Caenorhabditis elegans: one gene and its partners. The protein of the gene in region 1 purifies or fractionates together with the protein of each later gene. This does not show direct contact. Each region holds a gene or a part of one and is shown in the gene's direction. Other genes may lie near its edges.

Region 1 (4,709 bases):
CATATTTAATAATGATCGCACTAACTAACCTCAATGCTGGTGACAATTGATCAACCATTACAGAAACGGCATCGAATGGTTGCATAAGCATGTCCAGACTAAGCCATCCACTCAAGGCACACTTGCTGTTGAGTCGCTTGGTGACACATGGGAGAGTACATTGCAGAGAGTTACAAAGTTCTCCAAGATGATCAGCAACAATAAATACATTACCTCCAACTGTAGCAGCGAATTTAATGTTAGAATCTTGAGCGAAAGCAGTTAGGTTTGAACGAGCATAGCATTCTTTGTCGCAGCCTGAAAACGATTTTTTGATGGTGGGCAATTTTTCAGAAAAAAAATTACCTGACATGATATCATCAACGACAGGGTTGAGACACGACTCCATTCGCTCAAACAGAACGTGCTTTGTGGCACACATATATTCAACACTGCTGCTGGCTTTTGCGAAGAGCTTGTTGTGATCACAGTACTGTTCTTTCTTCAGACAAGTGATAGCCTGTGCATGATGACCACAGACTTTGCGAGCTTGATGTACAACATTCTTCATGTTCCACAGAGACGTCGTAGAATTGATGAACGGGTCGATGCACTTTCGCATGCAATATGGAACTCCAAGAGCGCGGAAAATTGTGTCGACGTCGAGGGCTGAAGTGAAACTTTAATCTTAAGCACACAATAATCTAGTTTTTTACCTTGTTCTTCGTGTGGCACGACATCTTTGTCGTCGTGTACCGATTCGATGGCACCATTTACACACGAGAAGAACAGAAAGATGGCGGGAAGGAAGAAGGCGAGATGGAGATGGCGCATCTGGAATTATGTAGAAGTTTTTTTTCCGAAATGGGGGTTAGATATTAAGCAGTTTGAAAGTGGTCTAAAAGCTTTCGAAAACTTTTATAAGCTTTCAAGAAGGTCATATAAGGAAAAGAACAGCTAGGTAGAAATGAAGTGGGTAACTGATATAGCCGAAACTTTACATAATTTATAAAATGAAAATTTATCAAAACTGACAAATGAAAATAAAACAAAATCCGAATTCTTTATGCGACTTTTCTGATTTCAAAATTTAGCGCGTCAATAGAAAAGTTAGATCGGCGGGAAAAAACAATTTCCAAACTACGGTTTTGATGGAGGTCTCGAAGCGAATACCGTACCCGGCAAGATTTACGCAGGTGGTCCGAGCCATTCATTTTTTTCTTTTTCAAATGTGAATTGCTTTGTTGAGAACCTGCAGAAAATCTTCATGTTTGGACGAAGTATTGACTTTTAGAATGTTTTTGTTCAGTATTTTAACCCTCTTCCAATATTGCGCTGCCATAATTTCGATTCATGCGATTTTGGCCGATGTAAAACCTTCATCAAAATTTCAACAATTATTATTGTAATCTTTAAAACTTCTCAATTCCTTTTTTTAATATTTATTTGTTTTCTCATATTTTAATTCAAGTTGTGCTCGATTTTCTTTGACTAACAGAAATTCCCGCTTTTCGGCACACATTTCCCGCAAACATCACATTCTACGCCATTTTTTTTGGCGCGTATCCGGCCTGTAGAGAATTCAAAATTGAATCGTCTCCCCTTCATTTGTTTCTTCATGTTTCAAGCTTTTTTCCCCAATTTTTATGTATCTGTTTCAGATAGTGAAAGATGGCGGCAATTCACATCAATCACGATGTCTTCAATAAGTATCATACTAACGGGAAACTTCGACTTACAACAGGCTATGTTCAGGTAAAGAAATCAATGTAGAAAACCAGGAAATTTAATTTTGATGAATTTTCAGGAGGCTATCGAAAACAATGGATATCCTGGACATGATGGAATCGTTCAAGTTTTGGTACTTTTGACTAATTCAAAAGTTTCGCAATAATTCGATAATTTTCAGAAAGGCAAAGTAGAGCAAGGAGAGCAACTTGGTCACGCATTCACTTTCAGAATTCGTATCTCAGACGGTGTTTTCCAATACAGTAAGTGAGTTTGTTATACTCTGATATTTATTTATGCTTTGAAGATGCGCTCATGTCCGCTGATATCGATGACCAAATCAAACGTGAAGTTGAGCATCTTGTTGAGGGAACAATTATCGCTCTTACTAAATTTGAAATCTACGACCAAGGGTGAGATTATAACATTATTGAGTCCTTCAATGTATTTTTCAGAGAAGGTGCTAAGAATTGCTTCCTGATCAAAGGATACAAAATTCTTTCTCGCTATCATCAGGTTTTGACCTCTCCAGAAGTCAAGCCAAGATCTCATTCTGGCAAACCTGATGAGCACAAAGGCTATAGACCAAATATTATCATCGAAGATGTTTGGCCTGAAGCTGAAGGAATGGCTGCTGATTACCAGGAGAATATGGCAAATCCACCAGCAGCAAAAGCGCCGAAAAGAGAATTCGGAGAAGGTAAAATCTAAGAGTTGTAATGTGTGTAATTCGAGTTTTCAGAAGCCTCATACAATCGTGCCGCTGCTCCAGAGGCTACACGCGCTCGAGCTGTTCCACCACCAGCACGCCGTACCGCGTCGAACACAGAAAGAGGCGTGATGCCTATTGCAATGGTTACACCGTACGTATCGAATTTCAAAATTCACGGAATGGTATCACGCAAGGAGGAAATTCGTACTTTCCCAGCGAAAAACACGAAAGTGTTCAACTTTGAAATAACCGATTCAAACGGAGATACAATCAGATGTACCGCATTCAACGAGGTTGCTGAGTCCTTGTACACCACAATCACCGAGAATCTTGTTAGTATTATTTTAATCGGATTATGCATAATAATTAATTTAATATTTTCAGTCTTATTATTTGTCTGGTGGATCAGTCAAACAAGCAAATAAGAAGTTCAACAATACTGGACACGACTACGAGATCACACTTCGCAGCGATTCTATCGTTAGTAAATTTAAAGCGATTCATCATAGCTAAAATATTAAATTTTCAGATTGAAGCTGGAGGTGAATTGCTTGCTGCTCCAAAGCTCATACTCAAACGAGTGAAGCTAGGTGAAATCGCTGGATATGCTGGACAACTGATTGACGTTCTCGTCGTGGTTGAAAAGATGGATCCAGAGGCTACCGAATTCACTTCAAAGGCTGGAAAATCTCTGATCAAGCGAGAAATGGAGTTGATTGACGAGTCTGGAGCACTTGTTCGATTGACACTTTGGGGAGACGAAGCAACAAAAGCACTTGTTGATGACTATGTTCAAAAAGTAATCGCATTCAAAGGTGTTATTCCAAGAGAGTTTAATGGAGGATTCTCTTTGGGAACTGGGTCAGCAACTCGTATTATTTCGGTGCCAGAAATCGCTGGAGTGTCTGAACTCTATGATTGGTACGCAAACGTGAAACCAACCACTGAAGTTAAGATGATGAGCCAAGCTGCTGGAGGATCCAATGAAGCTCCACGTACTATTGCAGGACTCCAAGAAATGCAATTTGGAAAGGATTCCGACAAGGGAGATTACGCAACTGTCAAAGCAATGATTACCAGAGTAAATCCTACGAATGCTCTTTATAGAGGATGCGCTTCAGAGGGTTGCCAAAAGAAACTTGTGGGAGAAAATGGTGACTACAGATGCGAAAAGTGCAATAAGAACATGAACAAGTTCAAGTGGCTGTACATGATGCAGTTTGAACTTTCGGACGAAACCGGACAGGTCTATGTCACAGCTTTCGGAGATAGTGCTGCGAAGATTGTTGGAAAATCAGCTGCGGAGCTTGGAGAATTGCACGATGAAAGCCCAGATGAGTACAACGCTATTTTCGAACGCCTTCAGTTTGTTCCAAAGATGTGGAGACTTCGTTGCAAGATGGATTCGTACAATGTAGCTTTATTTCTTGAAGATCCGTTATGATTGTTTTCTTTATAGGAAGAAGTTCGTCAGAAGATGACTGTCTATGGTGTGGATGATGTCAATCAGGACAAGTACATCGAAAATCTGAAGCAAATGATCGAGCAGATGCAACAAATGAGTGACTACTAAATGTTCTGTTTTTTATTACATCGTGCCGATCTCGACTGTTTCATTTAAATCTAAAAAAACCTAAATATTATTAAAACCTTTTTTGAGCCTAAAGTTATCACATGTCTCACATCCACAATCGCTGATTTTGTACAATGTTTTTCATCTCATTTACTAGCGAATAAACTATACGATGTGAGCCTATCTTTGAGTGCCAGGTGACCTCGAGATGTGTTCTGAAGTGACAGCATTGGGTCGTTGCAGCGTCCTTGAGAGCGGGTGACTGCCCGACAACAAATGGCCTTGGGTTGCCACATTTATCCTACGTCTCTCTGCCCACGACCACATTTTCCATTGCTAACCCGCAGGTTCGTGGGCAGCCAGCGAGCTCTTTGAGCTCTCTTCGTCTATTTCTCTCTAACGCTGTCTTTTTTTTTGTCTTATTTTCCATGAAAGACATTGGCGGATTAGTGGAAAAGACTAGTGACTTTCATTTACAGAAACGTCTTTTATCACCTGTTTTGATTTTCCAAAAAAATAAATTCCGTAATGATTTTATTATGTTTCCAAACAGTTGCAATTTGAACACTCCTTTCAAATTGTTCGTCCAAACTAAGCCGTGCTGAAAGAAAATTTCCGTCTTATATTTTGAGTGTAGCTTTTCTGTTGCAGTTGTTAAGATTTGTCGATGCAATTTAGGGTTATGCAGCTGACCTTATGGAGTGTCTGGGAGAGCAC
Region 2 (4,960 bases), on another chromosome or scaffold:
ATATTGTTCAGGGCTCTCGTTCAGGAAACTGATAAATATGTGAATTGATATTGTGAATATATTTATGGTACATGAAAAACGACTTATATAAAAGCTATGAAATGAACAATATAGAGTTATCATCTGTAAGAAATAAATTTAGGCGTCTTATTTGTGATGATGATCGATGTAGTCGTGAATAGCTGATACGCTTCTGCGGATTGTTTTCTAAAATTAAATAGGAATGAAAATAAATCGGAATCCATTTTTATACCTTGACAGATCCCAAAACTTTCCGGCCAAGGCTGCGAGAGCGACGTTTTCTCGGAAGATTGGGCGATTCAAAGGGTGTAGAAATGTCTTCCGCAGGGGTCTCAAAATGTTCGAAATGAGGTGTAACGTTTACAGAATTAATGGCTTCCGCATAAGCAAGGTAAACTGAAACAGTTTATAAATATTAAATCAATCAACCTGAAATTCATACCTTCGTGATCTCTCATAGCTTGTGAACGAGCCTGCTCTTGAAAATCTCGCCGGATATTTTCAGCTTGAAGATCTCTCAGTTTTTTTTCGGATTCCATTGTTTTCTTCAGCTGCTCTTTCTTCAATTGCTCCAGTCGTCTCATAACAATTTCCTTCTCATTCAATAACTTTGCATGCTTTCTTTGAGCATTTGACTTTCTGAAATGATATTTTTAATCCAATTATTTACTTTTTGAACTTACGCGATGAACAATCGCTTGTTCTGGTCGTTATTGACAATTTTGTACATATTTTGTGTGATGGAATTTATTGCATTGACGACATCAACAAGGCATTCCATAACTGGAGCATTGTCGGCAGGATTGATCTGAAAAAGGAAACAAATGTTTGTTAAACACATTCTCGTCTATACCTCCGACACAGTTTCTGCCACGTGAACACGTATGGAAAAATCTTCAAGCTCGTCAGTGAGTGTTCCGGCCCCATCCATCCACTTCTGTGCCCAGGCGACTAGGTTTCGCTGGTTCTCTGGCGCCTTTACATTTTTACACAAATCGAGAAGGACTGCCAACCATTTTGCAGCCTCATTATGTAGTTCATCGAGAAGGTCCTTTTTCTGTGACAGGGACATTCTGAAACAGTGTTAGAAAATGAACATCGATGAAAGACACGTGTATTCAGCTCGACTAACGCCTCGAAAATTTTCAAAAAAGGCGGGAAAAAATATTTGAATTCGCCAAGAGGAATTTCACCGCAGCGCGTGCAAAAATGTCTGCATTTGCGCGTGACGGTGTTTGCACAAATTACACCGAATGGTCGAGCTGAAAACACGTGAAAGAAACTGAATGCCGTTATTTTCCGCGACGTGCTGAAAGTCGGTATTTTTGATGTGCAGGCATTGGAGTACGGTAGCAATGAACTTTTCTTTTGGTAGGTTCAAATGTGTTGTCTAAATATTCTTTTTTTTATTAATTATAGGTCTCTCACTATCTTTTAAAAAGCAAATAGACGATGGTATTTTCAATGTCCCATTTTTCTATTTTTAATAACGTCGACTTTAATCACAAGGAAAGAAGCATTTACGATTTGCCGGTTTTTAACTGTCTATGTCTCTTAGTCTCCACACTCTCTCATGTGCGCGCAATCGTGCTCTAATGCATCTGGTGCGCGCGCCGTTCAAAATGTATCGTTTTCTGGTTCGATTAATACAACTTTATTTTTAATACTTGCTCGATATTCTCTTGATTTTGCACACTGCCAAGTATTTTACGTTGTATCCCTTCACGTATTAATTATTCATCTTCGAAACCTTTTCTTCTCGAATAATGTAAATTTCACATCTTCATCGTTTCAGATGTTTTTCTCAAAAGCTGGCAAAGCCGCTGTTGAATGGGCAAAGGGTTCAAAGTAAGTTTTTTGTGGAACATACTGTTTTTTATTTCTAAATTTTCAGAGTCCCTTACAAGGAGTTTGCTCTCACCCTTGAGAAAATCGAAGAGTTATCGGGAAAAAAGAAAGTGGATGAATTGGCTCAATTTTTCACCAAAGTTCTGGACTTTTCACCCGACGATTTAACAGCGTGCGTGTACATGTCAGTTAATCAGCTCGGGCCATCGTATGAAGGGCTCGAGCTTGGAGTTGCTGAAAATTCGCTGATCAAGGTTTGCATTCCACTGAATCTATATTAAATTATAAAGAAAATTTAAGGCTGTTGCTAAAGCGACCGGACGTACAGAGGGAAAAATTAAAGAAGATCTTCGCGCGAAAGGAGATCTTGGGACTGTCGCACAACAGTCAAGATCCAATCAGAAAATGCTTGCTGTTCCAAAAGCATTAACTGTTCCAACTGTTTTCAACAAGTTAACCGAAATTGCAAAGCTCAGTGGCACTTCAGCTATGAACAAGAAAGTTGATGCCATTAGTGCACTCCTCATTGCATGTCAAGGAATTGAGGCTCGATTCCTCGTCCGAATGCTCGCCGGCAAAATGAGAATCGGTCTCGGTGAACAAAGTGTTCTATCAGCACTTGGACATGCATTCACTCTTTCGAAAATAACTGATCAAAAGGTTCGTGGTGACAAACTCGATTCTCTGAAAGATGCAAATGTTAAGCGAGTAAAGACCGCCTATTGGTAATAATTGTTTCTTTATTAAATTATTCATCTAATTAATTTTCAGCGAATGCCCTAACTACAATCGTCTGATCGAAGTTGCACTGACTGAAGGTGTGGAAGCTCTTGTCGAAAAATGTAAACTTTCACCCGGAATTCCACTGAAACCTATGCTGGCTCACCCTACAAAGGGAATTGATGAAATTATGCGACGATTCAGAAATCAGACAATGACCTGTGAATGGAAATATGACGGAGAACGCGGCCAGATTCATAAACGAGAAGACGGGCAAATTTTCATCTACAGTCGAAACCAAGAGAACAACACTACCAAGTACCCCGATATTATCGAAAAAATTTCATCCTGCATCGGGGATGGGGTAACTTCATTTATTGTCGATGCTGAAGTTGTAGCTATCGATGAGGCTGGCTTAATTCTTCCGTTCCAAGTTTTGTCGACTCGTAAAAGGAAAAATGCAACTGATGATAACGGAGTCAAGGTTGTAGTTTTTCTTTTCGATCTTCTCTACTTCAATGGGGAGCCTCTCGTGAGAAAACCACTCCGAAAAAGAAGAGAACTTCTTCGAACAAACTTCAAAAAGATTGATGGAAGCTTCTATTTTGCAACTTCCGTAGATACAAATGATACTGATGAAATCAACTCTTTCTTCGATGAAGCCGTTCAAAATAAATGCGAAGGACTCATGATCAAAACTCTCGACACTGAAGCTACTTATGAGATTTCAAGACGTTCCCACAGCTGGTTGAAAATGAAGAAAGATTACGTTGATGGAGTAGGAGATACGTTGGATCTTGTCGTCATGGGTGCTTATTCTGGAGTTGGAAAGAGAACTGGAGTGTATGGAGGATATCTTCTCGGATGTTACAATCCTACTACAGAAGAGTACGAAAGTGTATGCAAGATTGGAACTGGTTTCACTGATGAAGATTTGGCCGAGCAATACAAGATCCTACAAGACAAGAAAATTGACAAATCTCCTTCTTATTATCAATTTGATCACACTCTTAAACCAGATGACACTTTTTCTCCGTATCTTGTTTTCGAAGTCAAATGTGCCGATATTACTATATCTCCGCGTCACAAAGCTGCAAGTGGATTGACGGATGATGGAAAAGGAATCTCTTTGAGATTTCCTCGTTTCCTGCGTATTCGGGACGATAAAAATTCCGACGATGCAACATCTTCGGAGCAAGTTCTTGAAATGTACAAAAACCAAGAAGCTTTTGCCAACCAGAAGATCGAAAAGGCGGATGCAGTTGATGAGGATGACGAATTTGAAGAAAAAGAAGATGAAGAGGAGGAGTTGAACATGACCAATGTATCTGAAGGAAGTTCTAAAGAAAATCCAGTGAAAGAGGAGATCAAGAAAGAGACTCCTAAATCAGTATCCCCGAAAAAATTCGAAAAGGTTTTAGTTTTTGAAATTACCATTATCGCTAATTATATATATTATTTCCAGAAACCGCCTGTAAAATCTTCACCAGTTAACAAATCGCCCGTGAAAAGTTCACCAATAAAGAAAGAAGCAGAGAAAAAGAAAGGACCAGTTGCTAGCATCTTTTCATCATCGACAAAGAAGAATGAAAAAGACGTTAAAGTGGAATCTCCATCTCCGATCAGAAAGAAGAAGCTGCCTTCTGATTCTGACGAGTCTGATGAAGAAACCTCAACTAATAAGAAACAGCCAGCAAAGAAGAGGTCTCGCGTTGCAATTGATTCCGATTCCGACTAATGCCAAGCAACTAATACTGAGATACATTTCTGCATATTCAATGATTTACTTTTTGTACTATGTTTCCTAATTTTCTAAGTAAATACCTCACATCGACTTTTTCTTTTGTTCACGGCCGGTCATTTTAAACAACTCATTCATGTGTGCGAATGTGTTGTACTTTCAACTGATTTATTCAGAACTTTGGATTTTGAGTCTTCTATTTAGGAAAGAGATAGACGCTGACCTAGATACCTAGAAACAAACACATAGTAAAACTTTACTAAAAAGACAAATGTATATCTACATTCTACCACGTCTGTGTACTCCTGAATCATCTTCTCTCCTTCGTGCATTCTTCTGTTGTGTCGTTGACTTACGTAGTGCGCATCCGCAAAATTCGATTTGCAGTTCAATACGGGAGAGCAGAAAGCATAAGACATTCTGATGCCTCAAACCAATTCAATTAATATTCTTAAGTTTCAAACAAAAAGTTTATTTAGAATTAAAACTTTGAAGCAATAATTAAAACTTTGAACAAATCTAGGTGAATTTGTCACGTCATTCCATGAATCCGCTACTATCCAAAAAAGCGTATCGGGAAAGAATCGTAACAGGTATCCTTCTCACAATTTTGTGGAAAACATTCAAAAT
Region 3 (7,731 bases), on another chromosome or scaffold:
AAAAATTGAAAAAATCATAAAAAAATTAGATTAAAAAAAAGTTTTTTCACTGGTTATATTCGGCCTATTTTCCGTCATTTAAAGCAAAAAAAAAATTGACTCTACCCAACCAAATTTGAAAACTTAAGCCAAAATGCAGGCGAAGGCGGGTAGATTTCAGGCAGGCGTGAGGCCCTAAACCGCGTCTGCCTACCATTTATGGCCCTAGAACGGAGGAGAGCAAAAACTAGGTCACTGATTTATTGAAACACTCCTGAAGAATTCTGAAAAACTTTTATTTAAAAAAATTAGATTTTGTTTTTTTTTTCACAAAAATTTGAATTTTTTGTTATAAATGCCAAAATGAGGTTCAATACCGAAAATTCAAGTTTAAAAAATTTCAAATTCGCAAAAAAAAACCTCAACTAGACTAGACTTTTGGAAATTCCAGTCAAACATTCAAGAATTTCTCAGAATAAAAAAAATTGAAAATAGAATCTAATTATATATTCACAAACCATATACACCTCCTAATTATACACTACTTTCTGAGAAAAATAACTTTTTTTTTTGGTAGATCACATATAAAGAATTAAAAATATGAAACATTTGATTCCGAAGAAAATATCAAAACCCAAACACTATTCTTTTATACTACTTATACACCGTTTAGTAGTGTATGTCGTCACCTAAGCATAGGCAATTAGTTGAAAGGTTTTCGGCAAATACCAAGTTTTCAAAATTTTTTCAAGCAAAAGAGGAAAACAGCGATGAGTCAATACAGGGATTTTATGAAAATACACACATCCCGACGACAAATCATATAATAGAAAAAGTAATAATAATCATAAATAACGCCAATTATGTGTACAAGTTGTATGCCTACTGACGTGGAAGGTAATTCTTGAGCGTTGTACTTTCCAGTTGCGTGCGCAGCGGACAAAAAAGAAACTTCCCATGCCGGGAATCGAACCCGGGCCGCGTGGGTGAAAACCACGAATCCTAACCACTAGACCACATGGGATCCGGCGTCGGGAGGTCGGAAGGGAGAAGATAAGGCTTGTGTGAGCAGGAGAGTGAGGGGAATGGGAAAAATATAGTTTTCAGGTGTTTTTCATTGATATTATTATTCAAAGAATCGATTTGAGAATTATAGATTTTGGAATTCAAAAGAACAAACTAACAAAAAAGAACATCTAAAAATATGAAAAATAGAGGTAAGTACTAAATTATCATCAAAAGTGACTGTATAAGATTCAAAACATGAAGTTCTCCTCTGCGCCTCTAGATTCTCTCCACTGACTCGATTAACTTTTTAAGTGGTTGTTGTTTCTTTCAAGCCACCCGCCAATAACCAATTAACACTTTTTGGACAGGAATTTCAAGATGAAATTGAATGAAAACGATGGGGATTGAATTTATAGATTATAGCTTTTGTTATTCCGTTTTAAGTAAATAAATCTGATCTGCGATGTTGAGAATAACGGAGCAATCTTGAAGTTTGAAAATGTTAAAAAATCAACCAAAAACAAAATTCAAATCTCGCGCGTATTTGAGACTGTGCATTTTCGCGCGACGGTGTTTGCACACCGTGCATCTTATCTTACGACATCTACGTATTATTTTTATTTTTCACAGTTTCCAGCGATTTTTAGCAATTTTTCAAAGATTTTTTTATGATTCTAAGTTATAATATTGAATTTCAGATTAAAAAATGAGCAAGACATACTCCTACACCCGTGTTACCACCCGTTCCAACGGCCTTCCGTCGAAAAGTCCGATCGAGGAACTGCCCGTCTATTCTCCGATCTATTCGTCGACGGTTCGTGGATTTTCGGGTTAAATTGATCGGAAAAACAATAGAAATCAACTCTAAAATTGTGGGAAACCCCATTTTCACTGAAATTTCCCTAAAAACCTGAAAGTTTTCAGTTCCGCACGGCTGTCGGAAGCTCCAGCAACTCTATCAACACTGCTGGCCTGGATGGATTGAGAACTCCGATGAGATCCTCTGGAGATGACAGGTAGCTGCGAAAAAGTTGAAAAATAAAAAATTTCCGGAAAAATACACTTTTTGACCGATTTTCAGGCGTAAAATTGGTTTTAATTGCGTTTTTTTCACGTTTCCACAGCTTTTTCCACCCTTTTTTGTACTGTTTTCTGACTTATTTCGCATATTCTGGTTAAAAAATTGTCGGATTTCCGTATTTCTCACAGATTTCCAACTAAACTGTGGACTTTTGGCATTAAACCCCGATTTTTAGTCGTTTTTACTATGAAAAAGCGGATTTTTTGGTGAGTTTTCCTTGTAAACTGAGTTCTTTAGACTTTGTCTCTCAAAATGTGGACTTCTTGGATTTTTCAGTGAAAACGCGGCGAAAACACTCGAAATGCTGGAAAATCGGATTTTTAAATCGAAAAACGTGGATTTTCAGCTTAGAAATCACTGAAAGCCCGATTTTTCGAGGAATTTTCTTGCAAAATTGAAATTTCCCAGATTTTTCAGTGGAAAAACGATGAAAACATCCATTACTACCGATAAAAAGTGAATTTTTATTGTAAAAATAGCTATTTCCTATAAAATTTGGAGTTTTAACTATTTTTAAGGATTTCTGATCAGAATACCTTGTTTTTCTTCCAAAATTTCCCAATTTTTTCTGGAATTTTTTACTGGAACCCAACTCAACCAGCTGATGAGCCTTACGCCTACGCCTCCTCCACGGGAACCACCTGCTGTGAGAGCAGACGGGCGGTGCTCAATGGGACAAAATGGAGCACAAAAAGAAGCAAGTTTTTGAAAAGAAGAAACAACAACACAGCTTGGAGGACCAACAATTCTCTTTTCGACACCTTTTTCTTGGCATTTTTCTTGAAAATTGGCACAAACTACATTTTTCTTCGTGTTTTTACGCAAAATCCTAAAAATTCGTCTGAAAATTGGAAAATTTATCATTTTTCCCAATTTTCCCTTAAAAATTGGCCTGATGATCAGTTTTTACCTTAATAAAAGCAGTTTTTCCTGAAGAAAATTGACCAAAAATGCGATTTTCTGGCAATTTCTTCAAAAATTCCGATGATTAATGGCTCGCCGAAAAATTGTCTGAAGTTGGATTTTCTTCAACATTTCGAGGAATTTCACTTTTAAAACCTATTAAGAGTAGTTTTCCTGTAGAAAAATGACGAAAATTGGGATTCTCTGGAAATCTTTCAAGAAATTCCGATTTTTTCTTCAAAATTTCGGGAATTTCACTTTAAACACGTGTTAAAAGTAGATTTTCCGAAAAAAATTGACGAGAAATAAAATTTTCTGACATTTTCAAGTAATTTGTCTGATAAATTACGAGTTTCTCGTTTTTTTTCACCAGAAAATTGTCTGGAATTCGGATTTTCTTCAATATTTCGAGGAATTTCACGTTACGTTTGGTTTTTCCTGGAGAAAATTGACGAAAAATCGGGCTTTTCTGGAAAACTTTCCAGAAATTCCGATTTTCTCTTCAAAATTTCGGGAAATTCACTTTAAAAACGTGTGAAAAGTGGTTTTTCCTGGAAAAAAATGTCGAAAAATCTGACATTTTTCCATTTCTAAGTCAGTTTTTCATTTGAGATGAAAGTCGATTTTCCGCACATTTCTCCCCCATTTTCCCCCCTGTAAACCAATTTTTCCGAATAAAAATTTGCATTTTAATCGTATTATTTCATCACATCATCACATTTTTCCACCCCGCCAACACACTTTTCCCCGTTTTTTCCTCTTGAAAATCAAGAATTTCACAAATTTCTGACCATTTTGAAATGTTCTAGAAAAATAAGAGTGATAAGAAATTTGGGGAGGTATTATGTTACGTACGTCGGCGGTAAATGTTGCCTGTTTCCCTTTGATCTGATGTTCTTAACACCCTTTTTGTGGTTTATTTAAGGAATTTTTGTGCTCTGAGAGCAAAATTTGGGGGAAATAGGGAAAATTTTCGGTCAAAAATAAAAATTCCGGGAAATCGGAAAATTGCCGGAATTGAAAATTTCCGTCAAATCGACAAGCAGGCAAATTGCCGATATTCCGAATTTGCCGGCAAATTGTCGGAATTGAAAATTTCCGGCAGATCGGTAAATTGCCGGAATTTAAAATTTCCGGCAAATCGGTAAATTGTCAGAATTGAAAATTTCCGGCAAATCGGAAAATTGCCGGAATTGAAAATTTCCGTCAAATCGACAAGCAGGCAAATTGCCGATATTCCGAATTTGCCGGCAAAATGGTCGCAATTGAAAATTTCCGGCAGATCGGTAAATTGCCGGAATTTAAAATTTCCGGCAAATCGGTAAATTGCCGGAATTGAAAATTTCCGGCAAATTAGAAAAGCGCTGATTTGCCGAATTCGCCGGAAAAACGGGGATTGCCGAAAATTTTCCGCAAATTGTGATTTTGCACATTTTTTTGTGCAATTTTCAGAATTTCAATTTTAATCGGCTTTTAGAATATACTTATAGGGATTTGGGGAATAAATTATAAAATTTAAATTAAAAGTGTTTTTGTGGAAATTTTTCAAAAATTACACCAAAAAATGAGCGCTGAAAAATTGCCAAAATTTGAGATTTTAGCTAAAAATTGACTACTTTTTCCAAAAATTTGAGCTGCTGCCATAACTTTTTTTTGAGGCATTCTCAGAACGTACATTACGAAATTTGGTAGTTTTGGACCATTTTTGGTAAAAAAAAAACAATTTTTTTTCAAATTTTGGTACTCCACCTTTAAAAGTTCAATTGTAGTTTTGCAGCAAAATCTATTTCCTGAAGTTAATTTCTAGCTATTTTCTCGAATTTTTCCACAAATTTTTTCCTCCTCAATCAATATACCTACCAAAAATCTCTTCTCGATGATAGCTTCATCCCATCTGATTCATCACACTTCCCCGTTCTCTCTCCCCCCAATCTCGTGTGGGAGTTTTAGTGTATACATATGTCGTAGCAAGGGGGAGATGAGATATCTCGTGTCGTTCTCCAACTGATCGGGGGTTGCTCCGAGAGCACATTGAAAAAAGTGGGAAAAATCTGGTGAAAAATTGGGGAAAATTTTAAAATTTACATAGATTTATGTGAACTTTATCCTAAAAAATCCGCGGAAAAATGCAGATGTTTTGACATTTTTAACGACTTTTTTTTTCATTTTTTTTTTCTTATCTCGCTTAAGAAATATGGGTGGAGCTCCGCGGAGCACCTGAGAGCACACAACTCGTCCTACTCAACTCATTTTGATACCCCCAGTAACTCTCCCAAAACTATGGCTTCTACCACCCAAAATACTCCAACAAAAGATCTTGCCGAGATTTCTGAACGATTTGAAAAATTAAGAGCACGGAGCAGCAATAATATGGCTACGTTCAACACTACAAGCTCCTACAATCGGACTTATGAGAAAAAGGTGAATTTTTTGAACAAAAAATGATGGAAAATAGAGAAATAGAAAAAAGTGGAAAAAAATAACCAAAAATTGAAGAAAAATTGACTTTTACAGAAGTACATTTTTTCTCGAAAAATCGAAGAAAAACCCAGAAAATTGAATTTTTATTTAAAAAAAGGGGAAATTCAGTTTTTGTTGAAAAAATCACTTGAAATTGAAAAAAAATTTAAGAAAAAATTATATAATTTTTTTGAAAAATGTTCAAAAACGTTTGGGAAAACGTTAAAAATTGTGAAAATTCGATTTTTTTTTCTTCAGAAAATTGGCTAATTTCGAATAAATTTTGGATTAACTAAAAAAAAATCGCAGAAAAACGTTTAAAATGTTCCGAAAAAAACGCCAAAAAATTGGTCACTTTGTCTTCGTTTTACTCCTTTTTTTGCTAGATGTGACAGACACCGATTTTCTTGAAATTTGAAAATTCCCAGAGGAATTCTGTGATTTTTGCAATTTTTTTTTTGAATGTATAAATTTATATTTTTAAATTTTTTGAAAAAAAAAAAATATTACAAGCTTTTCAGTGGAAAATTTGAAAATTTTTTGAAAAAAATATCAATTTTTATTGATTTATTGAGTAAAAATTTAGAAACTTTTGAAAAAAAAGGTTTTTATTTTATTTTTGGAAAACATTTTTCTTATAGTTAAATTAAATATTTTTCAAAGATTAAACAAACCTTTTTTCTTCAAAAGTTGCAATTTTTCTCAAGAAATCATTAACAATTGATTTTTTTGCATAATTTTCTTATTTAAAAAAAATTGAAGTGTGTTCTTTAAAAAATTTGAAAAAGTGAATTTTTTTAACGAAAATGTTTTTTTTTAATTTTTTCAAAAATTCCGAAAATTATGGAAATATTTTTTCTATAACTTTCAGATTTTCCCCTCAAAAATGTATAAATTTTTTTTGCAGGTCATCGAGGAAGGATCTCCAAATGTTCGTGTCACCACGCAAACTCATACTGCAATTCCAGGAATGCCGGTAAAAAATGTTTCCCGAAAATAAAAAAAAAGACATACAATTTGACTTTTTTTTTTCAAAATTTGAAATTTTTGAAAAATTAATTTAAAATTGTATTTATCGGCTTAAAATAATGATTTTATTTTATTAAAATCGGAAAAAATACGGGTTTCAAATTTTTGATGAAAATTCTGGGAAACAGTTAATTTAAAAAACTTTTAAAAAATATTGTTTTTTTCTTAATTTTCATTTTTTAAAGGATTATTTGACTTTGAAAAAACCGATAAACCGAAAAAAATTTTAATGAAATTTTGCTTCACAGGACCTCGGCAATATCCACTCTTCGATGCTCTCCAACTTTCCAAATCTTGCAATTTCGAGCCCATCGGTTGTTGGAAGTCAAAATGGAAATCTGACATCAATTCGTGTCACGAATACTAGTTTTCATGCGATTTTGGACGTTTCCAAGTATGATGCTGATTCGTTAAAGGTATTTTCAGGCTTTTAGACGGAAAATCTGGAAAATTCGAAGCAAACCACGAAAATGTTACAAATTGAATGAAAAATTATTATTTTCAAAAAAAAATCAAACAATCTGTAGAAAACCTTGAAAATTGACTTTTTCTCACGATTTCTGGATTATTTTAAATCTGAAAAAAAAGTTTTTTGGGAAAATTTTCGATTTTCAACAGTTTCTAGTAATTTTTTTGAATTTTATATTTTTATTTTGGTAATTTTTGAGTTTAGTTTTTTTTTTAATTTTCAAATTTTGCTTTTTAAAAAATCGGAAAATTTGCTTGAATCAGAAAAAAATTGTTTTTTTCAAAAACCACAAAATTTTCAAGAAATAATTCTGGAAATTGAACGATTCAATTGATGGAAATTTTTTTCTATAGGAGAAACTAAAATTTTCCATAAAAAGCATTGAAAAAATTACAGATGTTGTATTTTTCGACGAAAAACAAATAAAATTGAATTTTTATGCGAAAAAGAAACATTAAAATTTTTGGAAATATTTGGTGTTTTTTCCTGAAAAAATACATTTGAAAACAGCTTCAATATTTTTCTCAAAAATTTAGTCTTTTACAACTGTAAAATTTCAAAATTATACATGTATTTTAAGAAAATCGTAAATTCTGATTTTTTCTATAAAAAAAACTTCTGAAAATTTGGTGAAATTTCAGTTTTTTCGCCAAATTAAATTTTAAAAAATACGATTTTTTTTTGAAAATTTCAAAATAAAAGGTGTGGAATTTCGTATTTTTCAGGAAAAAAGAAAAAAAAATGTGCTAGAAATTTTTGAAATAAAAATTTCAATTTTAAAAATTGTTCTACAGATATATAA

The links.
Region 2: the proteins of rpa-1 (region 1) and lig-1 fractionate together in Caenorhabditis elegans (co-fractionation; one large-scale study listed by BioGRID). This does not show direct contact.
Region 3: the proteins of rpa-1 (region 1) and Y55F3BR.6 fractionate together in Caenorhabditis elegans (co-fractionation; one large-scale study listed by BioGRID). This does not show direct contact.

The regions. Positions count from the first base shown.
Region 1 is NC_003280.10:7,662,942-7,667,650, forward strand, and holds rpa-1 (putative replication factor A 73 kDa subunit), read left to right. Parts: upstream 1-1,640; 5' UTR 1,641-1,650; coding exon 1,651-1,734; intron 1,735-1,786; coding exon 1,787-1,840; intron 1,841-1,888; coding exon 1,889-1,970; intron 1,971-2,014; coding exon 2,015-2,120; intron 2,121-2,162; coding exon 2,163-2,407; intron 2,408-2,449; coding exon 2,450-2,751; intron 2,752-2,803; coding exon 2,804-2,899; intron 2,900-2,948; coding exon 2,949-3,833; intron 3,834-3,878; coding exon 3,879-3,992; 3' UTR 3,993-4,169; downstream 4,170-4,709. Other genes in the region: F18A1.7 (Chondroitin proteoglycan 4 domain-containing protein), read right to left, coding at 30-297, 346-648, 696-813. UniProt on the Caenorhabditis elegans protein: As part of the heterotrimeric replication protein A complex (RPA/RP-A), binds and stabilizes single-stranded DNA intermediates, that form during DNA replication or upon DNA stress.
Region 2 is NC_003283.11:10,812,297-10,817,256, forward strand, and holds lig-1 (DNA ligase 1), read left to right. Parts: upstream 1-1,816; coding exon 1,817-1,869; intron 1,870-1,915; coding exon 1,916-2,123; intron 2,124-2,169; coding exon 2,170-2,594; intron 2,595-2,640; coding exon 2,641-4,003; intron 4,004-4,054; coding exon 4,055-4,327; 3' UTR 4,328-4,422; downstream 4,423-4,960. Other genes in the region: C29A12.22 (Transposase), read left to right, coding at 1-48; C29A12.1 (uncharacterized protein), read right to left, coding at 148-207, 254-417, 464-660, 705-829, 875-1,093. UniProt on the Caenorhabditis elegans protein: DNA ligase that seals nicks in double-stranded DNA during DNA replication, DNA recombination and DNA repair.
Region 3 is NC_003282.8:836,081-843,811, reverse strand, and holds the start of Y55F3BR.6 (SHSP domain-containing protein), read left to right. Parts: upstream 1-1,693; coding exon 1,694-1,801; intron 1,802-1,911; coding exon 1,912-2,003; intron 2,004-5,322; coding exon 5,323-5,392; intron 5,393-6,338; coding exon 6,339-6,407; intron 6,408-6,708; coding exon 6,709-6,876; intron 6,877-7,731.